5 linked regions of the Nothobranchius furzeri genome follow. The protein of the gene in region 1 interacts with the protein of each later gene in a biochemical or structural test. Links are inferred from orthologs where the notes say so. Each region holds a gene or a part of one and is shown on either strand. Other genes may lie near its edges. The genes, in order: fbxo7, cdc34b, skp1, pink1 and uxt.

Evidence for each region.
Region 2: the proteins of fbxo7 (region 1) and cdc34b form a complex in vitro, tested with the Homo sapiens proteins (2 studies listed by BioGRID, with this or other methods). The link is inferred for Nothobranchius furzeri from reciprocal best matches to the Homo sapiens genes FBXO7 and CDC34.
Region 3: the proteins of fbxo7 (region 1) and skp1 form a complex in vitro, tested with the Homo sapiens proteins (3 studies listed by BioGRID). The link is inferred for Nothobranchius furzeri from reciprocal best matches to the Homo sapiens genes FBXO7 and SKP1.
Region 4: the proteins of fbxo7 (region 1) and pink1 form a complex in vitro, tested with the Homo sapiens proteins (2 studies listed by BioGRID, with this or other methods). The link is inferred for Nothobranchius furzeri from reciprocal best matches to the Homo sapiens genes FBXO7 and PINK1.
Region 5: of the proteins of fbxo7 (region 1) and uxt, one has a biochemical effect on the other in vitro, tested with the Homo sapiens proteins (2 studies listed by BioGRID). The link is inferred for Nothobranchius furzeri from reciprocal best matches to the Homo sapiens genes FBXO7 and UXT.

What each region holds. Positions count from the first base shown.
Region 1 is NC_091741.1:31,395,403-31,401,395, reverse strand, and holds the start of fbxo7 (F-box only protein 7), read left to right. Parts: upstream 1-2,010; 5' UTR 2,011-3,127; coding exon 3,128-3,221; intron 3,222-3,259; exon of another isoform or gene 3,260-3,460; intron 3,461-3,654; coding exon 3,655-3,781; intron 3,782-3,880; coding exon 3,881-4,076; intron 4,077-5,993. UniProt on the Homo sapiens protein: Substrate recognition component of a SCF (SKP1-CUL1-F-box protein) E3 ubiquitin-protein ligase complex which mediates the ubiquitination and subsequent proteasomal degradation of target proteins and plays a role in several biological processes such as cell cycle, cell proliferation, or maintenance of chromosome stability.
Region 2 is NC_091751.1:57,907,681-57,913,678, forward strand, and holds the start of cdc34b (cell division cycle 34 homolog (S. cerevisiae) b), read left to right. Parts: upstream 1-2,156; coding exon 2,157-2,342; intron 2,343-2,426; coding exon 2,427-2,513; intron 2,514-2,604; coding exon 2,605-2,702; intron 2,703-4,279; coding exon 4,280-4,414; intron 4,415-4,527; coding exon 4,528-4,738; 3' UTR 4,739-5,998. Other genes in the region: splicing factor Cactin, read right to left, coding at 1-211, 733-1,031. UniProt on the Homo sapiens protein: E2 ubiquitin-conjugating enzyme that accepts ubiquitin from an E1 ubiquitin-activating protein, and catalyzes its covalent attachment to other proteins by an E3 ubiquitin-protein ligase complex. In vitro catalyzes 'Lys-48'-linked polyubiquitination.
Region 3 is NC_091750.1:60,004,935-60,010,090, reverse strand, and holds the end of skp1 (S-phase kinase-associated protein 1), read left to right. Parts: intron 1-509; coding exon 510-653; intron 654-2,862; coding exon 2,863-3,003; intron 3,004-3,075; coding exon 3,076-3,111; 3' UTR 3,112-3,638; downstream 3,639-5,156. Other genes in the region: tcf7 (transcription factor 7), read right to left, coding at 4,725-5,103. UniProt on the Homo sapiens protein: Essential component of the SCF (SKP1-CUL1-F-box protein) ubiquitin ligase complex, which mediates the ubiquitination of proteins involved in cell cycle progression, signal transduction and transcription.
Region 4 is NC_091755.1:38,774,423-38,779,977, reverse strand, and holds the end of pink1 (serine/threonine-protein kinase PINK1, mitochondrial), read left to right. Parts: intron 1-1,090; coding exon 1,091-1,321; intron 1,322-1,422; coding exon 1,423-1,707; 3' UTR 1,708-3,861; downstream 3,862-5,555. UniProt on the Homo sapiens protein: Serine/threonine-protein kinase which acts as a sensor of mitochondrial damage and protects against mitochondrial dysfunction during cellular stress.
Region 5 is NC_091755.1:47,133,465-47,139,463, forward strand, and holds uxt (protein UXT), read left to right. Parts: upstream 1-2,666; 5' UTR 2,667-2,844; coding exon 2,845-2,930; intron 2,931-3,233; exon of another isoform or gene 3,234-3,256; intron 3,257-3,570; coding exon 3,571-3,652; intron 3,653-4,088; coding exon 4,089-4,156; intron 4,157-4,294; coding exon 4,295-4,402; intron 4,403-4,565; coding exon 4,566-4,629; intron 4,630-4,894; coding exon 4,895-4,957; 3' UTR 4,958-5,126; downstream 5,127-5,999. Other genes in the region: cdk20 (cyclin-dependent kinase 20), read right to left, coding at 1-53, 171-233, 464-585, 786-974, 1,404-1,517, 1,609-1,683. UniProt on the Homo sapiens protein: Involved in gene transcription regulation. Acts in concert with the corepressor URI1 to regulate androgen receptor AR-mediated transcription. Together with URI1, associates with chromatin to the NKX3-1 promoter region.

The sequences.
Region 1 (5,993 bases):
TGCTTATTTCTCAGCATTAATTGAGGAGAATAAGCATAATCCTAAATTTCTTTTCAGTACAGTTGCTAAACTTACACAGAATCATAGCTCTGAACCATCTATTCCCTTAGCCCTCAGCAGCAATGACTTCATGGGGTTTTTTACAAGTAAAATTAATTCTATTATAAACAAAATCTTAAGCATCCTCCCTAATGCGATTTCTTCTTCCTCAGTAAGTGAGGCAGCATCAGAGGTGACTGTAGAACCTCATCTGTGCTTGAACCGTTCTGATCCAGTTGAGCTTTCAGAGTTATCAAAAATATTAGCTTCATCTAAACCTTCAACTTGCATTTTGGATCCAATCCCAACCAAATTATTTAAAGAAGCATTTCCTTTGATTACATCTAGAATGGGGGCAGTAACCAATCTATCCTTAGTAAATGGGTATGTACCACAAGATTTTAAGGTTGCTGTAATCAAACCTTCACTTAAGAAGCCTTCTCTGGATCCAGATGACCCAATGAATTATAGACCAGTATCTAACCTTCCATTTTTATCCACAGTCCTGGAGAAAATAGTGGCCATCCAAGTATGTGAGCATTTAAACACTAATGCTCTGTTTGAGGAATTTCAGTCTGGTTTTAGAGAGTATCACAGCACTGAAACTGCATTAGTGAGAGTTACAAATGATATTCTCATGGCCTCAGATAAGAATCTTGTGTCTGTTCTAGTCTTGTTAGATCTCAGTGCTGCCTTTGACACAGTTGATCACAATGTTCTTTTAGAAAGACTTGAACATGTTGTAGGGATCAAAGGAACAGCGTTAGGCTGGTTTAAATCCTACCTGTCTGACAGATTTCATTTTGTAAATGTACATGACAAATCTTCTTCATACTCCAGGGTTACTTGTGGAGTACCACAGGGTTCAGTGCTTGGACCAATTCTTTTTACTATATATATGCTCCCAATTGGTAAAATCATTAGACAACATGGGATAAATCTCCACTGTTATGCTGACGATACCCAGTTATATTCATCCATTAACTCTGATGAACCTAATCGGTTGGGTAGATTACAGGCTTGTCTTGAGGACATACAAAATTGGATGACTCAAAACGTTTTGCTTTTAAATCAAGACAAGACGGAAGTTTTCATCTTTGGTCCTGAAATTCAGAAAAGGATTGCTTAGTCAATCACCTGACCTGAATGGCATTACATTAATCTCCGAGAACAAAGTAAGGAACCTTTGTGTTATCTTTGACCGGGACATGTCATTCAAATCCCACCTTAAGCAGGTTTGTAAGATTTCCTTTTTCCACCTTCGGAATATTGCTAAGATGAGAAGCATACTTTCCAGGAGTGATGCTGAAAAACTAGTTCCTGCATTTATTACATCAAGACTGGATTACTGTAATTCATTACTCTCAGGAAGTCCACAGAATGTAGTTAAAAGTCTTCAGCTTGTCCAAAATGCTGCAGCTGGAGTTCTGATGAGAATTAAAAAGAGAGATCATATCTCTCCTGTCTTAGCTTCCCTACATTGGCTACCTGTTAAATTCAGAATAGATTTTAAGATCCTTCTTCTCACATATAAAGCTCTTAATAATCAAGCTCCATCATACATCAGTGATCTGATTGTTCCATACGTTCCTAACCGAGCACTTCACTCTCAGACTGAAGGTCTACTGGTGGTTCCCAGAATATCTAAAATTATGATGGGAGGCAGATCTTTTAGTTATCAGGCTCCTCTCCTGTGGAACCAGCTCCCAGTCTTAGTCCGTGAGGCAGACACCTTGTCTACTTTTAAGAATAGGCTTAAAACATTTTTTATTTGATAGGGCCTATGGTTAAAATCTGATGTTAGCCTAAATAAGGACAAGTGGGGGAGTAGAGGGAGGTGGAGTGTACAGTCGGTAAAGACGGCTCTCCCTTGCCCTGCCTCCAATATGCCTCATTCTAAAAAGGCTAGGTTATCCAGAGTTATCTCTGTAGTTATGCTGCTATAGGCTTAGACTGCTGGAGGATACAATGACCACTTTCCACACTCACCTACTTTGTTCTACAATCTGCCCTTTAACTGTATTACTTCCTGCTATTTCAGCTGTTAACTTTATTTTCTCTCTAAGTGTTTTTCTCCCCAGAAGAAGCTACAATGATGTTCTGCTGAGCTGTGGTGGCCTCATGGAGGGGGCCATCGTCTAGCACACTGCTGCTAACCACTTAAACATTCTCCCTCTCCTGATAACTTTTTACTCTCTTTGATGTTGGATGTGCTACTACTAGTTTACCCGTTTAATTATAGATCCACTAGGATAAATACAATAAAGTTTATCTCTCACCAAATAGAATATTTACTAAGACATCACAATGTAACCACAGAATCAGAAACTTTTTTCTGATTGGCTTAATGAATTGACCTGTATTGGAATGGTTATTATGTGAAGTACCTTGAGACGACTCTTGTCGCGATTAGGCCCTATATAAATAAACTTGAATTTAATTAAATTAAAAGTTTAAATACATGAGGAGCTGGGACCTTGAGTGATTGGAAGACAAGAGGCAAGTGGGAGCAATTAACATGGACACAGAACTGAACGGAAACTGGGGAGACAAGACAAACTGTGACACATACATTGGTGATCTTAGTCCCTACACCCCCAGCATGTCCATGAGTTCCAGTGACCAAAGCCTACTGGTTGTGGAGCACCAGGCTAAAGACCAAAGGTGACAGATCATCTGCTGCTGTGGCCCCCAGACTCTGAACCTCTCTCCCCCTGAGCCTGAGATCAGTGGACTCAGTGGTCTCCTTTAAACTCACCCGTTAAGGCTTTGGTGGGACCTTCAACACCACCACCTTGTTCTTATTCTGCCTTTCCTGGAATCCACTGATTTCCCTCTTTCCTATAAAATTTCTCTCTCCCTTTCCATTATATATTTAATATAATGTTTACTTTTTTCTTTAATTTTAAACATATTTTTATTCTTTTTTTTTTACTTTTTAAATTTTATTAAATTTTTTTGTGAAGCTCCTCGTGATTTTTATGTTGAGAGGTGCTAAACTGTTCTGGGTCTTATTTTGAAAAGTCGAAGCGGAAATTACGTCTCTTCAGTTTCCGATGTTTCGTTTTCACTGATAGGAGAGAATTTCATGTTCTATTATAATGTGAGCTTTTCTCGGTTTACCTGTGAAGTTCTGGGACTTTCTGAAGATAACCCGCAGGTTTCACTAACTACCCGTCCAGGTTAGTTAGCTAGCTTGTCTCGTGCTACGCAGCAAATACGAAACGTTTGATATGAAAGGAAAACGAAATCGTCATTTTCCAGAAGCGATCGTTTATTTTACAGCACTGTCGTGCGTGCTTATTTCGTTATTATTATTGGAACCGTAATCTAACAGATTTTCATGACACTTCTTTGTTCGTAAGCTTTTTGGATAAACCTGTGAGTCTCTTACATGGTGGAGGTTGGAGTGTGACTAAAGGTGTGGACAGAAGTTGGTGCCATTCCCATGTAAACATTCTGTGCTTTAGGCGCATTTATTCATCTATAAGAACCGATTTTGGTTGGAATCCTGAATCTGAGGTTTAAAGTTCAGTTGCTATAAGTTGAACATGTTTTTTATGTAAGTAGAGGTCATGTGATCTTACGGAAGCCGGTGTGTTTTGTTTATTTCAGACAACATGAAGCTACGGGTCCGGATCAACAAGCAGACCAGCAGGGTGGACTTACCTGGAGAAGAACCCACTCTCACAGAACTCTCAGATGTCATCAAGCAGACACTGCTGACTTCTACTGGACTTGGGTCAGACTTCCGGATGGATCCATTTATTCTCTTTTTCTTGTCTCTTAACCAGCGTGTGTCCCAACGGCTCAATGCTCCGTTTTCTTCATCTCCTTTCAGTCTGAACACAGAATTCAGCTTGTCTCTGAACGGCTCTGAGCTTCTGTTGGACTCTGGTCAGACCCTGTCTTCCTTTGGGATCGTTTCTGGAGATCTGATCTGTGTGCTGCTCCGGCAGCCTCCAGCAGTCGCCGTGACCTCAGGGGAAACCAGCTCCACAGCCCCAATAACTGACGATCAGCAGACCGCCACTCAGGTGAGCTCACAGTGACGCAAAAGTGGGTACGCAGTGTATGCGACACATGGGGCGCCAAAGCAATGATGCAAGAACATTTTAGTCTGACGTTCCTCTGTTTAATAACAGCCGTGTTCTTGTCCATTTGTGTATCTGCTAATTATATCATTAATAAGAGAGAAGCACATCAGTGATTAGGCGCCCCTCCGCTTGTTAACCCCCCACACCAAAACAGCGCTCTGCCACCACACCACTACACTCTGGGGTTGGAGTAGATGGTTTTATACACGAGCCACAGAAGTTGTGCGTTTATTTATTTAAACGTTGTAGAAGCTAGTCGCACTAATGGAGCCCAGCTCTGGTGTCACAATGAGAGCTAACGTGAGCAGCTCCTGTCTAACGGGGACGGCGGGTGGAACCAGGCCCCAACTGGGGAAATTCCCGATGGCCCGGTTGAGTTCAGTGTTGTTGTTTTTTGGGCTGGTGTCACTCTAGATCACCTGCTGCTGATGAGAGGAGCTCTCCTGTCAGGCACTGGTGAGCTGCTGCCAACCCAAACCCAACCAGCTTCTGCTCCTAGGAACACGTTCTAGCTCAGACTGTAGTGACCTGTTATTTATAGTTTATAATTAATGTTAGGTATATTCCACAGCTGATGGAAAATGAGATTAAATAACCTGAACATGTTCTCCCACAGCTCAGCTCTGTTAGAAATGAGCAGATGTCTGCTTCAGCTGGACTACATCAAGTAGAAAAGTGTCCACAGATAACTGATCTTTAAACTTTAATATTGATTTTATTTCATTTCTAAGGTCTGGATGTCTGTGAACTAGGGCTGGGGGTAAACGATTATTTTTAAAACGATTATTCTGACGATTATTTTATCGAATAGTCGACTATTCTAATGATTATTTAGACGATTAATCTAACGATTATTTTTCTATTGCACAATTACTAAAAACCAGAAAATCTCAAATAAATTCCTCAAAAAACTTGATAAATGGTTACTGTAAGAGAATAAACACTACAGGCCTTCCATCTTGTATAACACTGCTTTTATTGTGTTGGTTGGTTATGTTCTGGTGACATGTAGAACGTGGGAGTGCAGGCTGCTGCCTGAGAGGTGGTAGAAGATGGAGTGTCTTCATGCTGCTTTGTTTTGGTCACTTATGAGTGTGAGGCGAGTGGTGTTACGACCCTTCCTGGGGAGTTTGGCTCGTGTGCAAAAATGAAGGGACAATAACGGGATTTAAAAGTTAAAATGATGATCGGGTTTATTTACAACAACAATAAAACAAATCTTTCCATCCACATGTTGGGAATAATAAAACTAATTCTGTCTGTGGGGAATTAAAACGAAAGTACAAATAACTAGGGATGTCCCACTGGGCAAAGATTACTGGGTTCTGGACCAAAATAAGGATCTCCAAAGGTCCAAACTCTAAACTGGGCGGTTAAACCAAACTCAAGGTGATATTTTAAACTAAACCAAAAACCCACAACACTCTAAATGTAATAAAAGGGAGATCTGCACCTCAAAAAAGATGAACTCTAAACCAAAACGTAACAGCTTATCCAAAGGGCAAGAAGCTGTTAGCGAAGATGCTAACAGTAGCTTTACCAATGTTAAGTTCAAGTTACCAAGTTTAAATAAACCAAAAACACCCAGCAGCAAACAGACCAGCACGCAGGAGAGACTGCTACCACCAAAACAGCTCTCCTAATGTCTGAAAGAAGCTCCTTAATGAAGGGAGAAACGCTCCCGGTGATGTTCTACATCTGCGGTAGAGACGGAGCAGCGCATCTGACCCCGGAAGTTGTTGTCCGTTGCCGGGAGACGAAGGCGGGCAAAACAGGAAAGGAACCTAGTAGTGGACGGACATTGTTCCGGGTCTTCGGTATTTGGTGGAGATGTTAGGGAAGGCAGAGGAGAGGGCG
Region 2 (5,998 bases), on another chromosome or scaffold:
TTCTCTGTCTCTGCTGTTGCTTCTCCACCGCTCCCTCATCTGTCTGTCTCTGACTGGACTGTTTCTTCTCCTCCTCCTTTCTCTTTCTCTGCTTGCATCACTTGAATCAGAGGCAGACTGGGACCTTCCCCTTCTTCTCTCGTGGGATCTACTGCTGCGTTTCTCCATCTCTTTCCTTCTCCTTCTCATCTTGGAATTATCTGAATCAGGACTGAGACAAAAATAGAATTTAGTGTGAAAATTAAATGAATATAAACGCATAAATTATGACTAGTATCAAGAGATCATTTTATAAGCCTTTTACAGTGTTTAACACCTATTCTATATATAATCTAGGAGTGTTTAATGATCTATTGGATTACAACGGTTTTTATAATTAATCAAAGTAAAATTCGTTTCAACCTGCTTCTAAACAGTTACATGCAGACATTTACTGTAAATATAGTGTTTAAAAACACCTGTCGCAATAACCACCTGTGGGTTACACCCACCCACCACCTATAAATATGACTTATTGGAGGAAAGATGATGAAAATCTGCCAATCTCAAGCGACTCTCTATTCTGAATAATAGATCACAAACAAAAATATATTTTGACTGTGGCGACTTTCTTCATTTTTTGCGCTGCGTGAGTCAAAAACAAGTTAATGTGTGAATCTCAAGTTGGACGAGTGAAGCTTAACTAACAGACACAACCTTTTATCGTACTGTAACATATTGTGTTAAAATTACCTCGATGCACGATCCTTTGATTTGCTGCTGTGGCGCGGCGCTCTTCGACATCTGTCCCCCTCCGATTCACTCCTGGACCCTGATCGGCCCCTATGTTGAGGTCGGGCCCGAGAGCCATCGCTCGAAGCCTCGCTGCTGGATCTGCCTCGACCCAGTGTGGTCCTTTTCGGGCTCGGAGACCTGTTGCGACCTCTCCTCTCATCTGGAGATCGCGACCTGTTTACTCTGGACTTGTTTCGGTGATCTCTGCCCCGACTTATGGACCTGGAACGAGACCTACGCCGTGTTTTCGAACCCATCACGAACTTTCTTCTTTTCGGGGCCCTAAATGCAGTCTGTCGCGTAAATAGGAGGCATTGACGAAACACTGTTGATTATAATAACGTTTACAATCGCACTAATAAAAACATATGTCTATGTTTAATGTTCGCATACTCTAACGTGTGCTATGACAGAAAAAATTACGTGTCAGATTTCTTTTATAAAAAATCCAAATGTATTTAGTAAGGCAAAGAAAAGCTAGCCTAAATGGGCTTTCCTGAGCACTGGCGCAGATTAAAACGTCACAGCCACTTAATAAACTACAAATTAGCCACAAATGAACGCAGGATTGTTTTTCTTACAATTTAGTTATGTCGGTGATAAAATACTATTATTGATGTCATAGATATTTCGTCCATAGTAACCGCTACCGTATTTAAACAGTTTAACAGGAAAATGCAAGCACAAACAAACTTATTTTTCTTTTTGGGCATTTAAAATAAAAATAAAAACATCATAAATAAAAAGAACAGGAATTATATTATACCAGGGTTTTCAGTTATTTTGGTTTCACGTTTTTTTAATCTAACAAACGCGGAATGAAAGACTACCAGTCCCAGCCAACAACAGGGCGCCATTACCTGTTTTTACCAGGGGACTCTTTCAGCAACACATTTCCTTTCGCAGCTTTCTATGAGGGCTAAACAATTATGGTTACTGGAGGTATAGTTTGGCGTAGTGTCACATGACTTTTTGCGTTTGTCTTTTCAAATTGCCATTTTATGTAGTTATTTTGTGTTTTTGCGGTAATTACGTCGCTCCAGCTGGTCAATTAGACGGAGCTTGTTAGCTTTCCTTAGCTAACAGTAGATTTAAGGCTTATATCAGCTGCTGCTCTGCCAGGTAAATCAGCCAAAGCTGTTGAGCCTCTCAGACACAATGTGTTTCTCGTTTATAACATTACTGAGTTTTGACATTAATAACGTTTAATTTGGGAACAGACCAACCGCAGTCTTTGTTTTGCTTTTACGCGCGGTCGGCCTGTTTTCTTTGCCTCCGAACATCGAAAAAGGAGAAGTTGTGCTGTTTGCTGGCTTGGCTAGCTTAGCCGTGTAAACAAAAGCTGTCGCCTCCAGATAATCCTGAAAGCTTCATAAATCATTATGGCGCAACACGACCCTTCTCATGTAGCTAGTTCGCAGAAAGCTCTCATGTTGGAAATGAAGAGCCTCCAGGAAGAGCCTGTGGAGGGATTTAAAATCACTCTGGTGGACGAGGCTGATTTATACAACTGGGAAGTCGCCATTTTTGGTCCACCAAACACTCATTATGAAGGGGGATATTTCAAGGTAAGGTTGTAATTAAAATCAGATGACATATAAGAAATGACCGTAGTTTAAAAAATAACAAGATGTCCCCATTTTCCCCCCTAGGCAAGGATCAAGTTTCCTACAGATTATCCTTACTCCCCTCCTGCTTTCCGCTTCCTAACCAAAATGTGGCATCCCAACATCTATGAGGTTAAATATTGACGTGTGTGTACTCATAACAGTGTATTTAATTTGAATGAATGCATCTGATGATGGAATGTATTTGTTTCCCCTCTTGTAGAATGGAGATGTGTGTATTTCTATACTGCACCCTCCAGTGGATGACCCGCAGAGCGGAGAGCTCCCATCAGAGAGATGGAATCCAACCCAGAATGTTCGGTTAGCATTTCTCTTTCTAATCATATTCTCTCTATACGTTTCTCCTTTCTGGTCTCCTTCCATCTTTGTCCACTTTGCAATCACTTCAATGGTTCACCCAGCGCAGACTCTTATCTTATGACATTCATTATCAGCAGCATCTTCTTCACCGGCTGCAGCAGCCAGCAGTAAAGCTAGATCTGCATCTTCCTCTTATTTACAAACAAAATTAAATTGATCTTTGGATAATATCATACTATGCAAACTAAGATTTTGTTGGTTTATTTCTATGAAAAACATACTTTGAGTACCTTAATTCATTGTGACTCACAATAAGTGTATCGCATGAGTTTGACAGCATTTTGCTGCAGAAGAGGGAGAAAATGCATCTTTATTTATTATAAACTTCCTTCTGAGGTTATTTGTCAGGCTCACATTATGCAATCTGTGCACAAAAAAATGTATCTTTGATCTTTTTCTGTAACTGAGAGCCAGATTTCTATTCAACAAGAAACTATCTATGTAAAAGCCACCACAACGATGTCACACTCACAAGTGATATTAAACCTGTGATCTGTAGTAGTCGAAATCACACAACTTCAGCAGTGTTACAAAGATGTAAGCTCTGGTGGTTTCGGTCACTTGATGCAGTGCAGCTCTTATGTTTTTGTTGTTGCAGGTGGTATACCGTTAACCTAACCTAATTTCCTCATTTGCATTTTTGCTGCAGACACATTAGATCTGTAGATCAGGAAGTCTGTCACAAAGGCTGTTCCTTTGGCCACAAACAGAAGCAGCTTCTTTCTGTTTCCCATAACGACTCACTAAAACCTTACTCACAATGCTACGTTTTATAAATGTAATGTAAAGGCTTGTCAGTGCGCATTGTGCGCTCTGCTGAGAAGGTGATTGGCTGCAGCCCTCCATCTCTCCAGGACCTGTACGTCTCCAGAACTCGGGGGCGTGCAGGCCGGATAACAGCTGACCCTTCGCACCCGGGTCACAGACTTTTTGAGCCGCTTCCCTCAGGCAGGAGGTTACGGTCCATCCGGACCAGAACCTCCTGCCATAAGAACAGCTTCTTTCCATCTGCCGTTAGACTTGTGAATAGATTATAAACACACAACCATGCTGGTCTTCTGTACTCGACACAACGTCACGTTATCGGCCATGTTACCATTACCTGCCATTTTAGCTGAAAGTTTTATTCTAGTTTTTTTAATTATTATATTTTATTCTATTTTATTCTATTTTTAATCTTATTATTCATGTTATATGTAGCACATTAGTGCCGAAGCAAGTTCCTAGTTTGTGAATTGTTTGTTCACTGAAAATGGCAATAAACCTATTCTGATTCTGATTCTGGTAGGGTGGTAGCACATGGGTCTGACAGGTTTTTTTAATACATGTTTTATCAATTAGCTTTAAGTTCCTAATGTAATATGTGCTTCATTGTTTATTCTAATAAAATAGTAGATGAAATAAGTAATTTAGGCTTGTGACATTAAAATATTTTTTATGTGTTTAAAACTTTTTAATTCACCTAAAGTCGTTTTCTTATGGTTCTATACTAAGTTGCCTTTGTTTTTTGCTTCTAGGACCATTTTGCTGAGCGTGATCTCGCTGCTAAATGAACCCAACACCTTCTCCCCTGCCAACGTGGACGCCTCTGTCATGTACCGGAAATGGAGAGACAGCAAAGGCAAGGACCGGGAATATGTAGAGATCATCAGGTAAACATTAGTGTAATGTTATTTAAGACAAACCTCAAATATTTCTAAAAGATTTTCAAAGCCACACCATCCACACAAAAGTAATTCAGTCTTCATAAAACAAATCCCTTCAGGAAACAGGTGCTGGCCACAAAGGCAGAAGCAGAGCGAGATGGCGTGAAGGTGCCCACCACGCTAGCTGAATACTGCGTTCGTACACGCGCCCCGCCGCCAGACGAAGGCTCTGACCTCTTCTATGACTATTACTATGAAGACGATGACGTGGAGGGGGGAGACGGCGACTGTTGCTATGACGAGGATGACTCGGGCAATGAGGAGTCGTGACATTCTTGTTGTCAGAAAACCCAACCTAGCTGACGAATGCTCATCCTTTAACTCTTCCTGGGTTGCCAGATATTCTTGGTTTGCAACCAAGAGAGATTGGAAGCTTCCTTCTAAATCAGTACAAGAGCTTTTTTCCTTCAGCCTCAGAGGTTAAAACTGATGCCTCGTTGCGAGAGGGTCAGACTGTGGTCACTTTTGCACCAGCACAGCCACCAATTTTTTTTTCCAACTTCGAGAACTTTTCATCACACTGAAGCTTACTTTGCTCACAAAATCCAGTCCTGGTTTTAGTATGAAATATTTTTGGTTGGGTTTCATGATCACTGAACTGGTGCAAACTCTTAAACCATCACTTCACCTGTTTTGCATAGCTGTATTTCTCTAATTGTAACTGGGGGTGTCTCACTGGTTGTCCGCCTCGTGGTGGAAACTTTTACAGACTTCAAGATGGACAAAGGACTGCAAGTGTCCCATATTTTACAGTTTCTGTCTTTGATTGGCAGGACATGGAGGAGTTTTCATGGACAGTATGTTCAAAGTTCTCATGCATGCCAGAACTTCTTTGAAAGCTTTTTGTCTTTTTATTTTTATTTTTTAAATTGGTGGACTGTTTCCCAACGTCATGAGAGACTCGTGGCAATGGAGGGCCGTCCCGTCTGCTGGAGTCTGCTGAGTCAGCTCCTCATATGAACATTCTTACTAAAACATGAAATTGATCTCTGCTGGGTTTTTATCTTGGATGTGTTTTTCTGTCACTCAGTGTGGGGTTGTGTTTTTTTGAATGAACTTGTTATTAAAGTTGTGTAATAATCAAGTTGTTGAAGGTTAGAGGGGCAGAACTAATTATTGATTAGAATTGTATTTCTCCTCAGCGTTGCTCTCTGAGCCGCCTGATGGACCCGAAGAACTAAAGCAGAGTGTAAATTAAATTTTAATACGCTTTGCCAGATGTTTCTCTTTTTGCTTTCTTGCAGGCCCTATGATTTTAGTTTTTCTTTGTTAGATGTTCGGCATGCACTGGAATAGGTAGTCTTGTGTCGGTGTGTACTACCGAGATCAAACTTCTTCAGCCCTACAACTGAAAATGAAATGTTAGCCCCCTTTATTGATTTATTTTTTTGTAAGAGTGGTTTTGATTTTGTTTTTAGAGTGTGTGGATGTCCTATGTGTAATTTTGTCTTCAGTAAGCATTATTGTTTTATTTACTTTAATTGGGACATCATATTGAATTACTCAGGATAAAATTATACGCGACAAAAC
Region 3 (5,156 bases), on another chromosome or scaffold:
GCTATGTCTTCTTTCTCCGGTGACGAAGGCTGATCTGGATGGCCACTACTGCGAATGCGCCTCGGAGCTGAAAACAGCCACTGACCCGGATGGGGACTAATGCGCATGTGCATTGAGCAGAAAGTCAGGAAGCAACCGCCGAATGTGCCGCAGCAGGCGAGATTAAAATTAATGGTCACAGAATAAATAATGCATCCACTATTAAATTAGTAGTCGAGTATTTTGTTTGTTGATGTTGTGACGAGTCGACTAATCATGGCAGCCCTATATAACTTATTAAGAGGATGCTCAGTCTGTCTTTGTTATGTTCTGTCCTGCCAAATCAACTGACACGCTCCTTTAATCCAGATAAAGGTAAAACTGTACGTGTAGATGCACCTCAGCAGAAGATCTCAAAATTCCTTCATCACGGGGGAATGTTGTGCACATGTTTCTGTCTGCGTAAATCTTAACACGAATGTATAAAATTATGTAGTTTCAGTTAAGAATAAACATGTTTTCCCCTTTAGGTGATTCAGTGGTGCACTCATCACAAAGATGATCCTCCTCCTCCCGAGGATGATGAGAACAAAGAGAAAAGGACGGACGACATTCCCGTCTGGGACCAGGAGTTCCTCAAAGTGGACCAAGGCACCTTGTTTGAACTCATTCTGGTAAATATGTTTCATTAAACATTATTCTTATTTTGCTGCTAAATGCGTTAGCTACATTGAAATTGATGCTTTTCCCGCACCCCTTAAACAGATTTTCACCCCTCAGCAGAATTCTTAACTCTTGAGGTTGAATCAACTGGAAAAAATGTCCTCTCTGTTTTTAGGTCATTATTAGAAGTTTGGGTCAGGCAAAACCAGAAAAGTTGTTGTTTTTGCAAATATTACACATAGTTTATAGTTCTGCTACAAATTCTGATTGGCAGCCGACCTCTTCGCCGCAGCTCTCCATAACACTCAGCCTAAAATGCGCTCACTGTAAACATTACTATAAATAAAATAAGTGTTTAAAAAGGCAACTTATTTTGTATTGTACAGCTATAATTATTCATGTGAACTGATTTGAAATGTAGTTTATAAGAGGAGCTTGGAGACGTTAGCGATCCACTTGTGTTTGGATTAGCTTTAGCACATCATTAGTTAAAACGTAAACACTTTCTTCAAACTGAGGCTCTTCAGGAAGCTGTCTACAAGAAGTAAGATAAAAACTGATGTGTTACACAGAAACACGTCAGAATGTCCCAAAGCCCCATGAATATGTTCTTCAAACGATATAAGTGCTTGTTTTCTCTTAACTCCGATCCAGATCTTTATTTACACCCGTTACTTCAAACGTCCTCGTTTGATGATTATTTTAAAAAAAATTTTTTTTGTCAAGTTTTGTGTAATTGGGTATTCTGTAGGGATGGACAATATAACGGTATCGGCTGATGTTAGCTATTTTTTAACATATCTGTTCAATAAAGAAAACCAGGCCAATATTAACAACCGATATTTTTCCATCTTGTCCCCATTTGTTTGCCTGTTTCAGAGGGTGATGTGTAATTTAGTCTTGTGAACAGTGAATGAAATCATTTCAGAACCATAAATGTGTGTGGTGTGTGTACATAATAATGTAAATCCAGCTTTAATAATTTATAATTTTCATTCTATACAAAATCTGCTGATTTTAGAAGCATTAATGCCAGTATATCGATATCGACCAATATCGGTATCGGCACAAAAAATTTCATATCGCCGATATATGATATCGGTGCATCACTAGTATTCTGTCTAGGGATGTCCCATTCCGATATCAGAAGCAATTCATTATCGGCCCAAAAACACTATTGGATTATATCGGACTGCATCATAAATCTCCAATATAAGCAGTTTGTTAAGGTTCACATTTTTGCGACCAGTGGTTTAAAAAAAGGGTCAAATTTTTTTTCATACTTACTGTTATTGGCTCTTGTTCTCCGATTGAGTAATATCACTTCATCAAGCCTTTCATACATTCCACACTACGGAATAGGTAAAAGTATGATTTGTGCTGGTATCGTATTGAAATCGGTGTCGTATCGGGACATCCCTAATTCTGTCTTTTTTGTGGTCTGATTTGATCACCAAAAACACAAATGTTGCTTAGCAACATCTAGTAAAAGAGACAGATGCTGATTTTAAGTTGTATAAAAAGTTCCTTGTTAATGAAGTGGAAGCAGATTTGGATAATGCAGGGTATCCGCAGGTCCTTAAAAAGTCTTACATTTACTTTTCCAAATTTAAGGCCTTGAAAATCCTTAAAAATGACAAATGATCCTTAAATACAGTTTCCAAAGGTCTTAAATTACCAAAGACCCAATAAACTAGATTATTTCATTTCTATGACATTTTCGTGAATTTCCAGTTAGTGTTCAGCATTTTTTGTGTACAATGTTGGCGTAAGCGGAACCGTACACATTCAGTTGGTTGTGAAAGGGGGCTAGTTTTAGATGAGCACATTAGCTGATTAAGCTAGTGGGAGCTTACGCCATGGAGAAGTGCAAGTTTAATGGTAATTGGATGGCTAATCCCACGTTCGCGATGTGGTTAGCACCGGTTCCAGGCAATAGCTGGAAATTATAGCAGAAATTGAATTTTAAAATATAGCTTAAATTTGGTCAAAGTGGCCTTAAAAAGGTCTTAAAAAGTCTTAAATTTGACTCCCTTAAACCTGCAGTTACCCTGTAATAGTTCTGTATTTAACATGCTAACGCTAACTGGCCCAGCTTTACTGATGTAAAACTTTTATTCATAGTTCCTATATTAGACATTAAAGTTACTTATTCATCAGAGGCATTTGTGCCATCTCACAGCATCTTCCACATCCGAATGTCATTTATTTTCTGTTCAGGCCGCCAACTATTTGGACATCAAAGGCCTGTTAGACGTCACTTGCAAGACGGTGGCCAATATGATCAAAGGCAAAACCCCAGAGGAGATCAGGAAGACGTTCAACATCAAAAACGATTTCACGGAGGAGGAGGAAGCCCAGGTAAAAAAAAAAAAAGTCCTCAAAAGTGATGCTCAAGGAAAACAAAGCTTTTAAACTGCTTTTTGTCCACAGGTACGCAAAGAGAACCAGTGGTGTGAAGAAAAGTAAAAGGGAAGATGCTGCCAACACTACCACACTGAAACGATCTGTAACTGGTTGCACTGGCGATGTTCATACTTGTTAATATTTTAGTATAATTACCATCCCCCAGCTTATTATTTCTGTGTACCAATAAAAGCATGAACATTTAATTCTGACCTGTATGGTGTCATTAATTTAAAGCTGAAACGCTTGTTACCGTTTCCACTCATGAATATAATTATATTCATGGTTTCATGGCTTTGTATTTCCCTCTAAAACATAAAAAGCTACATTTTTCGTATCCTTGTTCTTTTTTCTATGGCAATGTTTTCTTTTAGATAATTAAACAACCTTCACTTTTTTGCCGATGGAAACAGGAGGGTGAATTGTTTTTGCTCTGTAAATGTATCGGTTTTGTGAACTTGTGTATAAAAATGAGCAGTTTGAAGGCGGAACGATGTCCATCATGCAGAGCGAGTTCCAGATTCATGTTTTGACACTGGAAACTTTGAGGAAATCCACATTGAAGGAGTAAATAAAACCTGTTCAGAGAGCATGTGTTACATTTTCTTGTTTCTTTGGCTCTTTTTCTTTAAATTTACTTTGAAATCATCCTTAAAATTTTAAGTTTGCAGTCTTCAGAGATATTCCAAACACTTTTATTACATCAAACAAAAACAACACACCAGGAGTTCAAAGATACAAAGACATCTTAGAGGTGTGTGTGTGCCTCAAACCTGAATGCCCCGAATAGAAAAGCACAGATTTGTATTATAAGGGCACCCTCTGCTGGAGGAAGACAACAACTCAGCATACATTTTATCCACAGTTGGGAAGCTGCAAGCAGACAGTAAATTAAAGCCTTTTATATAAAACCCTCAGAAATGTAACAAAGTTTAGGCATGCACAGATATAGTTTGAATGCTGCTGCAGTAACACTTGACTCCAAAAAAACAAAAACAAAAAAACACATTTTTAGAAAAAAAAAACTTTTTAAAAAGTAATTTACCATTTTTTTCATAAAAAACATACAAAATTTTATTTATAATATAAAACTTTACAACACATAATATTATAGTACCCATTTGGTCTCAGATGAGTTTGCAGAATGTGTGGAATGGTCAAAGGAGAAACAAACATCCGACTAAAAATTTCACAAGTCATCGACAAAAATAGGAAAAACAAAACAACAAAAACAAAAAAGGTTGAAGCTGGAGATTAAAATCCTAAAAGTGCCTGAAAACAAGTGGTTTATTCTCTTAATTGAACTTTTTGTGACATTGGCAGCAAAAATAAAAACAAATTTCTCTAAAAATCTGCGGTTCTGCTGGGATGTTGTTGTTCTCGCATGATTTAGTGGTTTGGTTAGCATTAGTGATGCATCACGGCCGAGACGTAAGAGAGATTCGTGTCAGTTTTTAATCATTTTGTGTTTGCAAAACAGCTGATTGTCATGAAGTAAGCAGCAACTGTTGAGCGAAAGAACAGCAGATCATTAAAAATTATTCATTTACAGTGACGGTGTGGTGGAGCTGGAACCTGCAGATCTCCTACGGTGGAACAACTGGGATTAAAAGCAGGAATGTTGTGAACGGATGATAATGGTGTAGAAATCCAGCTGGGCGATCGTAACAGATCAATCAGTGAGTCTCTGTTAGCACTTTGAGGGACAGTCCTGCCACCTTGGCGGCGGACAGTGCTGTAGAGCAGTGCATCTGCTTGCTGGACAGTTCCAGGTGTGTGTGGGGGAGTTTGACCACGGGCTGACGGAAGTCTGCCGCTCGTTTGCCAGCGGGTTGCTCCGGGTGGAAGCGTGTGTGTGAGTGCGTGTGCGGAGACGATGGGAGGTGTGTTGATGGGGAGGTGGGCAGCGGCGAACAGCCAGGAGAAGGGGGGCGCTGGAAGAGATGGTGGCGTGCGGGAGAAGGGGAGGGAGGAGAGTCTATAGCACTTAGATCTGAAGAAGATGGACTGGGGCAGCCTCCTCCTTGAAGGTAGCGAATGCACTTCTTTTTCCTCCTAGGGACAGTCAGAGAGAGTTATCTGTGAATAAAGTGTGGATGGTAGAACGT
Region 4 (5,555 bases), on another chromosome or scaffold:
AAGCATAACGGCAGCTTCAATAGTAGGCTCGTGCACGCATGCTGTACGTGCACACTCCTTAATGAAAATAACAGCTGAGACAGTCCCGTGTGTGTGTGTGTGTGTGTGTGTGTGTAGCCGGGAGGACAGGAGAACGCACAGCTAATTAATTAAATAATTTGGTTCTGTACCTTTCTCTTCAGCACAGCCGACAAAGGTTTATGATGGGTCAGTCCTCCTGCATGCTCAGATCATTCCCTTCCCTTGCTTGAAAAATTGTTCCAAAATGAAAGTTGAACCCACATCTTTTTTATCTGTGAATTCAATGCCGTTCGCCAAGTCTCAAATAAAAATTTGGGCATCTTACTGTAAAAAAATATACCATTAATGTAAAAAATAAACTATGATCACACCCAGAATCGAACCCAGGTCTTCGGCACGAGAGTCCGACGTCTTACTAGGTGAGCTAAAATGCCAATGACATCCTTTGTATCTGTAACTTTTATATCCTTGATGACAGCTGAAACAACGTTCAAAGAACGGTTCGGAGCGAAAATGGCTATTTTGTTGCTAATTTGCAGGAAATATCTAGAAGGAAGTAGCTAAGGGTGCTCAGAAATGTAGCTAGCTTTGTCACTAGGCGTTAGGAACAGCGACAAAGTGGCACTGCCTCTCTCTCTGCTGCTAAAGCTACGGATAGCAAATGCTACGGGCGATGCCTGAGCGTGAACACGCATGAAGCAGCCTGCTCGACCCGAGCATCTCTCTTTTTCTGTGATTTTACAGAAAAACAGGCAATCACAGTAAAAATGCCAGGGCTCATTCTACAGGACCAGGGCATTGCAGGAGAAAGTATGAAGAAGACATTTATTATTTCTATACATGTTATGGCTGTCACACTTCCATAATGCCCCTTTAAAAACATAAAACACCTTCAGCGACACTTCCAGCCTGGCCGACTCCAGGTGTACCTGCAGGCGTCTAACGAACAAATCAGACCCGCCGAACCGTGTGGACCACCTTGAACACAACACCAAACACTCCGGCTGTTCCTGGATTTCTCTGAGGCGGTGTGTCTTTACCTGCTGTGATGGGTTATTTGTCTCATCAGGTGGTCACCGCAGTCCCAGGAAGCGGTGTGGTGATTGACTACAGCAAGGCGGACGCCTGGGCCGTTGGGGCGATCTCCTATGAGATACTTGGAGAGCAGAACCCGTTCTATCAGGCTGGGGGACTGCGTAGCACCGACTACCAGGAGAAACAGCTTCCTCTGTTTCCTTCCAGAAGTCCAGCTGATGTGCAGTTGGTGATACAATTACTTCTCAGGAGAAACCCAGAGCGGGTAAAGCAGGATAGGTCCAGTTATAAACTGATCTCTTACACTTGGAAGCGTTTGTTTTTAATTGATGATTAGCTCTGTTTGCCTCTGTTCTTCCTCCTCAGCGGCCCAGTGCACGTGTAGCGGCTAACATGCTACATCTCAGCCTCTGGGGTCGGAAGGTTTTGGCCAGTCAGGACAGTGCTGGCACGAAGAAACTCGTTGACTGGTTGCTGTGCCAGTCTGCGGTGGTTCTCCTGAAGGGCTGTGCTGGACCCAGTGGGAATGGGGTGGAGGCGGAGCTTCAGAGAAGCTTTCTGTCCAATCTGGACCTGGTGGAGCTGCGCACCGCAATGGGCTTCCTCCTCTATGGTTGGGAGCAGCGCCGCGGCTGCTCTCTGTCAGCGTAGATCCGGTCCAAACCGTAACTCGGACCCTCAAAAAGAAACGCTGGTAGTTAAACTATGGGTGGATACCTGCTGTGTTTTTGTTGTGCTTGATTTAACATTTAGCTGCTGTATGAATGAGCAGTAGCTTAACGCTCATGCGAAAGGCCGGATTTCAGCGTCAGCTAGCTCGAAAACCTTTTATAGCACACAGAAATTTTACACGTTTACTGAAAATGACAGCTCCAGGTCTTCCTGGATTTTTTTGTATGGGATCAAATTTATTATTGAAAGTCAGAGAACGGGGTTCTGGATTTGTTCAGCCTGGTTTCACGTGAGTGAGTGAGTGAGGGAGTGAGTGAGTGAGTGAGTGAGTGAGTGAGTGAGTGAGTGAGGGAGGGAGGGAGGGAGCGAGCGAGCGAGCGGACTGCTCCCTCTCCATCATAGTTTGTATCCTCACAATGACTGTTTTCCAGCCAGATGGAGCAACATCTCACGCTAACTGGAACACAACATCATGCAGAAGGTGTGGGTGTATGCGTGAGTGATGACCCATGTGAGAAAGTCTGTGAAGGTCTAACAGAAGACGTCACCAAGGAGGAACTTTATACAAAGGACAGCTGGGAGGGAATGATTTTAGAGATCCAGAGTTCTACTGGGTCTAAATGTGCGAGAGCCGTCTGCAGGGACACCCAAGTCCAACTGGCCACTTGTTCAAGGGAAATCTGGTCAGAGGAAGTCTGGAACAAACCTTTAGAGGCTAAATTTAATCCCACACAAAGATGAGTAACATCTGTATTCAAAAGTACAAAAAACATAAATTTATATCAAAGGCTTTTGGAAGTAACTGATGTTCCAAAACGGGTCAATTCTTCCCTTTTGCTTTAGTTTTTGAATAAAAATTTCAGTACCTAATCTTTAAAAATCTAATTTATCACTGAGATGTTTGTTAATTTAAAAAAAAAAACTAAAAATTCTGTAATGAGAGTAGAAATGGCTGCTGGTGGTTAAGAGTAGATCCTGTCTCCTGAAAGCTCTCATGCACATTTGTAGACACAGGTCTGTCACAGTGTGGAAGTGACCAATGCAGATATTTAAAATTAAAACCATGTTACACTTGTGAGGATCTACTGGGTAGGGTGAGGTCAGCTACCTGCAGGTGCAACATCTGAAACCCTCTCCAAAGAGCTGGTTTTAGGAGGTTTCTGCGTAACGTGTGTTCGGCATGCTTAACAAAGATGAAGTCATGGTAAAACATCCATAGATCATTAGTACCATGCACAGGGGCGGATCTATAAGGGTGGCATAGGGTGGCAGTTGCCACCCTAAAAGAAAGCCTTGCTACCGCTGCTGCCACCCCAGCTGGTAGCTATAAATTCAAGAAAAATCAACGTTTTTCAACTGTCTGGCTCATAAAGACCTATTTGCAGTCTCCTTTGACAGAGAAAAGACTATGAAGCTAGGCTGTACTCAGCATTGAATCAAAACGGGCAAAATCTTTGGACCTTGATGAATGTGTAAATTGTTTTGCTGAGCAACATGGAAACTGCCGCATTCAGCTGTTGTAGGAAGGACATAATTTTATTATGTGTTTTATTTTCATGATGGGCCTTTAAGCTTATTAAATGAGGACCCAAAACAAATGAATATGCAAATCCTGGGAAAATAAAAAGGAAAACGTCTCTCTCTCTCTCTCTCTCTCTCTCTCTCTCTCTCTCTCTCTCTCTCTCTCTCTCTCTCTCTCTCTCTCTCTCTCTCTATCTCTATCTCTATCTATCTATCTATCTATCTATCTATCTATCTATGTGTGTGTGTATATATATATGAATGGCCACCCTAGAAAAATGTTTGCCCCTCTTCTGCCACCCCATAAATAATTTTGTAGATCCGCCCCTGACCATGCATAATAATGCACTCCGTTTTCCTGTTTGCATTTTTCTAGAATTGTATTCAAGAATAGTTGGTGTTTTAAATGTGTTATAAATGAAAAGCAACCATTTCACCGTCGCTAGAAAGACAGATTCATTTACTGCACTATATGGTTATTTTCAGCTGTACGTCAGTAGTTTGGGATGCAAATCCATGTTGTAATTATAGTTTGGTACATTGAAGATTGTTGGAAATATTTTTGGACATGTAGAAAGGTTGAATTTCAGAATAAAATCATTTCAAACGCAATTATCTCCAATTATGGTTAATGTTTGATTTCAGTGCACCCTTCAGCTTTTTGTTACCTTTGCAATGAATTTGACTGAATTTTGAGTTTTGGTTGGTGATGATGTTTTTGTTGGTTTGTGTGTCAAAATATCTTATGGAGGACTGGATGGATTTTAATGCAACAGTCAGAAATCAATTATTGCTGATTGGCATTTCAAATGAAGCCAATTCAAGATGGCCACCACAGCTGCATAATATTAGAAAACACAAAAATGACTAACCCAATCATTTTGATAGTAGCTGAGTCATTCAGTGTGAGGTCACACTATGAATACGTGTCATAAGTAGTGCAAGGTCGTCAATCTTTCAGTGCCTGGGCAGATTTTCTATTGAGTCTTTGCTGGTATTTAGTTTAAAATGAAGCAGTTTCTTTAAAACAGCTAACATTACACTCTTAAAGTGACAACGTGTATTTTCCCTGGCGATAAGTGGCAATACATACCTAAGTCATCACAAGCAAGCTGTAGTTTTGTGTTTGAGTAAGACCTTATCAACAGATGGCCATTAGGGTCAAAAATCTCTGTGAGTGCAGCCTCCAGCAAAATAAGCACATCAGACTCCCTTTCATCACTGGCAGTGAGTGATGAGGTAATGTGTAAAGCAATAACATTTATGAATGGTAAAAGTTTTGTAACTGTTCGTTACAAATCATTAAATGTATATTGTCCTCTACGGGCTCCCGTAGAAGGAAACACAGCATCTAATATGGTGTCACCCAGAGACTTAGGCCTAGTCCACACGTAGCCGGGTTTTTTAAACGAATATCCGCCCCTCCAAAAACTTGCATCCACACCACCTCGTTTAAAAAAAAAACTGTCCACACGTACCCGGATAAATTCGTTGTTAAGGACATGCCAGACCTGTAGGCGGCAGTACTTCCCCCGTTCTTAACCTCGTCCTTCGTCTGTGGTCTTCCGCAAGGAGCAGTAATTCCTCTTGCAAAAACAAACAAGCAAAAAGCGCTTGGACAATTGATAAAGCGAGCGCAGCTCTGAGGGCATCCATGCTGTCGGCTAGTGTAAACACAGGTCGCACACGTGATGTCAGGATTTTTTTGTCGCGGAAAGTGACGTTGCGGACCTTAAAACTCCGGTTTTGTCTGTCCACACGCAGACACCCAAAACGGAGAAAACGCAGATCTTCACTTTGGCCGGAGTTTTTAAAAAGATCCGTTTTCGTGTGGATGACAGGCCAAAACGTAGAAAAATATCTACGTTCTGGCAGATCCCCGGCTACGTGTGGACAGGGCCTTAGACCATCTCCCATATATTTTAGACCCAATTTTTAGGGTTATATGTTACGACGACGCCAGTATTTTCCAACAACTGGGCATCATTTCTTTCATTTTCAACAACATTTTGATGGATATTTCCAGAGATTAATGGTAAAAACTACACGTTGTCTATTTAAACAGAAGAAGTGTTATCTGCACAAGTCAGTGACTCGGTGCGATCTGCTGGGTTCCTCACTTTGGAAATGTAATTGACATAATGAGCTAAACTCAATTGGAACAATTGCCTTGATGCGATTTGTCATGATTTGGCGCTATATAAATAAAACTAAATTGAATTAAAGCTTGTAAATAAGTTCAAATATCACTTTCAAGCTGTTGGTGATAAACAATGTCCTAAATAATCTATTAAAAATACTGAAAC
Region 5 (5,999 bases), on another chromosome or scaffold:
CAGGAAACAGAGGAGACGAGTTCAGCAGCTCCCCGAAAATACACCCGACAGCCCTGAAACACAGAGAGGCGTGAGCGCTGCCCTCTGCTGCTCAGCTCACAGCACTGTCACTGTGGACTCAGCCCCTGAGCAAGGCAGCAATAGCACCAGCAGCAGGGTTTCACTCTCACCACAGATCCACTCCTTCATCGTACTTCCGGGCTCCGTAGAGCAGCTCAGGAGCTCGGTACCACCTGAAAACACACACACACACACACACACACACACACACACATACACACACACACACACACACACACACACACACACACACACACACACACATACACACACACACACACACACACAAGACAAAACAATTTTTTTCTCTATTTCCTGCAGATCAAAAATTTTAATTTTCATCTTCAATCAACAAATTTTTTGTGTGACCGAGCTGTGAAAAAGGGGCGGAGCTTGTGCTTACCTGGTGGCCACCTGGTGGCTGTAAAGCCTCTCGCCTTGATCGCTGAACAGCCTGGCGAGACCGAAATCGGCGATCTTTAGGTGACCCGAGGAGCTGATGAGCAGGTTAGCTGGCTTCAGGTCCTACACACACACACACACACACACACACACACACACACACACACACACACACACCAGAACCAGAATCACAAACCCTTATGGGCCGTGGACTGTGTGTGTGTGTGTGTGTGTGTGTGTGTGTGTGTGTGTGTGTGTGTGTGTGTGTGTGTGTGTGTGTGTGTGTGTGTGTGTGTGTGCGTGTGTGTGAGCAGTGCACTCACCCGGTGCATGATGTTATTGCGATGCAGGAAGGCCACGCCCTTTAGCAGCATCATCATGTACCCCTTGACCTGTGCCGGGGTCAGAGGTCGCTGGTGGTTCCTGATGACCTCAGAGAGGTCCGACAGCATGAAGTCAAAGACCAGAACAAAGCCCGTCCCGTGGGGAAAGACGTCCTTCAGCTTCACAACCTGGAAGAGTTCAGGACAACGTTCCCAAAAGGAAGATTGAATCATTCCCAACAAAACATCTGCAGGTTTTTTTTATCAAAGCAGCTGAAGCTGAGCACCGAGGGTCCACCAGGTGTGGTGCTGTAATGGAACCAGATTTCTGCTCAGACTTAAAACCAACAGCAGATCTGGGCAACCAGGCACTTACCAGCCCCCCAGATCTCTGTGATGCTCCTCCTCGTCTCCTCAGAAGGAGGAATAGAGAACGTAAAATCATGGAAATCTGTTAATTTGGCAAATAGCTTTGTGAGGAATGGCCTGCAGATCAGGTGGATTCAGGACTGTGGTTCTGACACCATCACGAACACCAGTTTGTGGCATTTCAGTAGCATCAGGTCTGACACCTCGCTGTCCTCTGAACTGGGCAGAAGCAGCTGGAGGGACACTCACATACTGGTTGTCCTCAATCTCCTGCAGGGCCTTGATCTCCCTCAGAGCCTGGTTCGGGATGCCGTCTTCCAGCCTCCTCAGAGCCACTTTCTTCAGAGCCACCGTCTCTCCTGTCTGAGAGAAAAGGCACAAGACGAACATTCTGAGGAGGAACTGCTCTGCACCTGGAACCAGACCCAGAGGCTGGATCTTTTGCTATCGGTACCTCAATGTGTTTGGCCTTGAACACAATGCCGTGAGCTCCTTCTCCGATCCGACCCTGGATGCTGTACTGCTCCATGTCTGGGACAAGAACCTGATCCGGTCTGCTGATTTCTGCAGGAAGACCAATTTTTCATCTGATTCCACATTAAAACTTCAAGCTGTAACATTAAACTAAATAAGATATAGGTGACCTCTTTTTGAGAAAGAAAACACCTCCCAGAGCTTCTTTTACCTCCTCCAGCTGACCGACAGGAGCCAGAATTCAGACCGGAAACAAAGCTCCGTGTACAAAAGACGCCGTTTACGATTTTGCGCGTTTCAGTTCAATAAAACACCAACGTTTCTGAAATATTACGGAACGATAACTGAAATAAAGGTCGTAAGTTTTATTCGGGTTCTGAGATTATACATAAATCAGCTCGATTTCAATTGGATCCGAATTTTACAGAGGATGCTAACTCGTGTTGCCATGGTAACGTCACCACTAAGCTAAGTTAGCTCCTATGGCTTAATGAAACCGTCGAAATAATTTCAATTCGAGCAGAAATGTTTCCTGATAGTCGTTCAAGCCTGAAAGCGCGGCGAGGAGATCCGGTTTTCGGGCCTGAAACGTTTGAAAACGTTTTGTTTCAGACAAGAGCTGCGTTAGCTACGGTCACGTGACAACGGAAGTCACGACACAGATCCAAATCAGCTAGAAAAGACTCACATGTCAGTCAGAAGTGAAAATTAAATAAATAAATTATATATATATATATATATATATATATATAAATATATATGTATGGGGTTATGACATGAATGTGTATATAGGTTTTATGGGTTTTACAAATGTGTAATTTGGATGTGTTTTTAGAATTTAGAGATTTTAGTGCCGGCTGCTTCACAATGCTGTCTCGAATTGCCCCTCGGGGACTAATAAAGTTGTCTTGAGTCTTGATATATATATATATATATATATATATATATATATATATATATATATATAATCAGTCTGGAGCGTCTTCGTCTAATGCATCTATCTGTTTTATGTCTACATGCTTTATTTTGAAAATTTGGGGGCACTCAATGATTTAGTTCCGGTGTAAAGAATTATTTACATGCTAGCTTGGCATGCTAGCTGTGCTAACGGCACGTTTTTGTGTCCGAAACGGTTAATTTACATTGAGCAGAAATTCATCTGAACTGAATTAATCCGCATGAAGTTATTATTGTTGTTATTAATCTGAAAAGCTGCATGGAGGAACCTGTCGCTGAAAACGTGGACCGGAAGGTTCTGCAGTACGAAACGTTCATCAACGAGGTTCTGAAGAGAGATTTACGGTACGATTTAACTCGTATAGTTGATTTAGTTTCTCAGCTCTGCTCCTCTGTTTGGTTTTGAATTCTGAGTAGTTTCACAGATCCTGGTTTAGTTAGGGCAGGGTTGGTAGCTCTAGCTTGAAGCAGGTAAATAAAAGTTGGTGCTGGGTTCTGATGAATCTAAGCAGTTTCCGGTTAAGTTTTGATGCGATGTTTATGTCTCTACAGACACGATCATTATAGTACAGGTTAAGTTCTTTAAACGTAAATCATAAAGTTGTATTAAACACATTTGTGACAATCACTATGACCAGTGACTGGTACCTGGTTACCATGGCAGCCCCCCAGAGGGCGGGGTCTATCCGGCTAGAGAAGTTGACGCTTCATCTGAGCGACCAGAACAAAAGTCAAACTGCGGTGGTGAGTCCACAGAGTCGGATGATGTTCTGGTCTGTGGAATCAGAACCAACCAAAAAGATCCAGTGAAGGAGAACCAGAGAGTGGGTCCTGGAGAACCACGGATCCCTGGTGTGGTTCTTATCCAATAGAACAGTCAGAAAATGATTGCAAACTCATTTCAAATACTCTATTTTGACACCTCACACACACACACACACACACACACACACACACACACTGATGAAGGTGTTCTGTTTGACAGGAAGGTGTTGGAGCAGAGAGACCAGGTTTATGAGAAGATCTCCCAGTACCTGCAGCTGAAGAACACGATCCAGAGTCTGCAGGTAGTGTGTGTGTGTGTGTGTGTGTGTGTGTGTGCGTGCGTGCGTGTGTGTGTGTGTGTGTATGTGTGTGTGTGTGTGTGAGAGAGAGAGAGAGAGAGAGATTTTAAGGAGGGAGGCATCACTCTGGGAGGATCATAGGGCCTCCTCTAGGATTTTTTTCAGTTGTTTGAAATATTTTCAGCTAACATCCGCCATGTTTTAATCTCTGGAAACCTTTTAACTGCTGATGAAAATCCAGCGGAGCTGTGTGTTCTGGATCAGGAGTTCTGTTCAGGCCCGATCCAACAACAGACCAGTAACCTGAGCTCTTTAGGCCTCGTGCTGTCAATCAGAAACGCCTGTTTGTTTGTGATAGAATTTTGTGTGTGTGTATATATTTATATATGTTTATATCATGATGATGACGTTGCGGTTATGTCACTCCGTGTTCTTGCAGGAGGCGGAGTCCCAGCAGCTGAAGACAGACGTCGATCTGGGCTGCAGCTTCTATGTTCAGGCTCAAGTGTGAGTGTCTGTCTCTCTAGAGTGTCCAGCTCCTCCCTCCACAGACATTTAACCTCTTTTAGATGTTTGGTTCTGGTTCTGAGCAGTTTGGTTGTGTTTGGTCCCGGTTCTGACCCGTTGTTCCCCTCCTTTGGACAGAGACGACTCGTCCAGGATCTTCGTGGCGGTCGGTTTCGGGTTCTTCGTGGAAATGACCCACGATGAAGCTCTGCAGTTCATCACCAAGAAGACGAGTCAGCTGACAGTGTGAGCTCTGTGTTGCCGTGACAACACAAACTTTTTGTCACACGTCTCATTTTTGTCGAGCTGAGATCTAGTTCTAAATAAAGTTGAGGGAGTTTGAACGAGTGCTGTGTTAGCTCAATGTTCGGAACCAAAGATGCTAACCATGCTAACGCTTGTTTTGCAGCTTCACAGAGCAACTCACTAAAGACGCCGCCAAAATAAAAGCCAACATCCGCATGGTCCTTGAGGTCAGTTATTATGTCTATGATCTGAAGCTCTTTAATATTTGATTTGAGTTTTTCTGCTGAGTGTTTGATCTTCTATAAGTCAAAGCGAGTCAGAGACTCGGTAAGATCTGAAGTAGAGCCGGTCCGGTAGCGTCGAGGTGAGTTGGTGCTGATGGAGAGGGACGTTCTCCTCTAAAATCAGATGTGTTCATCGTGGAACCACGGAGAACCCTGATCCTCCAGATGAGGTGTCTGATTGGCTGCTATCTTCTTCCTCTGCCTTCAGGGTTTGCGGGAGCTGCAGGGACTCACCGACCTTCCCGAGAGCCAAAGAAGAGACGTCTTCTAGACTTTTCCTGGTTCTGGGCAGCAGGTGCTGCTGGGGCTGGACCTCCGGGGGAGGAGGAAACTCCTCTTCCTGGGAGGAGCTTTGTGGACAGCAGGACGAAGGTCTCCTCAGATGTTTGAAGAACATCACAGCAGTCATGAGTCTTTCCTGATTAAAATACTAAACTGAAGTTCATGTATTTTCATTTTTTCATTCATATTTTATTAATAATGAGGTTTTTAGTTTGGATTTGTTTTATTTATGTCAAACTTTAGTTTTTGTGTATATTTTTTATTGGATGTAGTTCTACTTTAGTTCTTTCTGGGATTTATTGTAATAAAATAATATCATATATTTTAGGCTTAAATGGGTAAAAGTTGTTGGTTGTTTATTTGCCAACATTTCATTTCCTGATGAATAAAATCATTCACACATTCTTCTTATAATAAATAATATTTTTAGACCTAAAAAGTGTTATTTGTCTTTTTGAACAAGCTGATTTAGATTTAAAGTGAACTTTTTTTGTTATTTTTAAGATCTTTTCCCGGTGTTATGGTTTATTTGTCTCTCAAAACCAAATATAAACTTTTGAAAGGAATTTGTCGGAATGTTCCTGAGGAACGCTGAGACGTTTAGCGGGTTTGTTGCGTTGGAAGAACGGGAACGTGCTCGAAGAGTCATGCGTGACCAGCACGTGTTAGCTCTGTGAGGCTGACGGGTGGTCAGCTGCACGAGCTCGTCAGCTTTCACGACCTTCATCCGGTGTGATGAATATCAGCTGCTCGCACAGAAGCTCGACGACGCAGAGCCTGTTTCCATGACAACGAGCTGCCGAATAGAGGTGCTGAGAGACTCTTGAAACTGAATCAGAGAAAGAAAGGAGCATCTTTTGTGTTCAGTTTGCTGCTCGGATCCAGAATCCAGCTTTTATTTCCCTGAAACACAGAAACACGTCTGGGAATGAGTCCTTTTATTCTGATAAGTACCTCTACCTGCACAACAACAGCAGCAATGACTAATATTATTATTATTAATGTTATTTGTGATGATGTGTCTGACATTC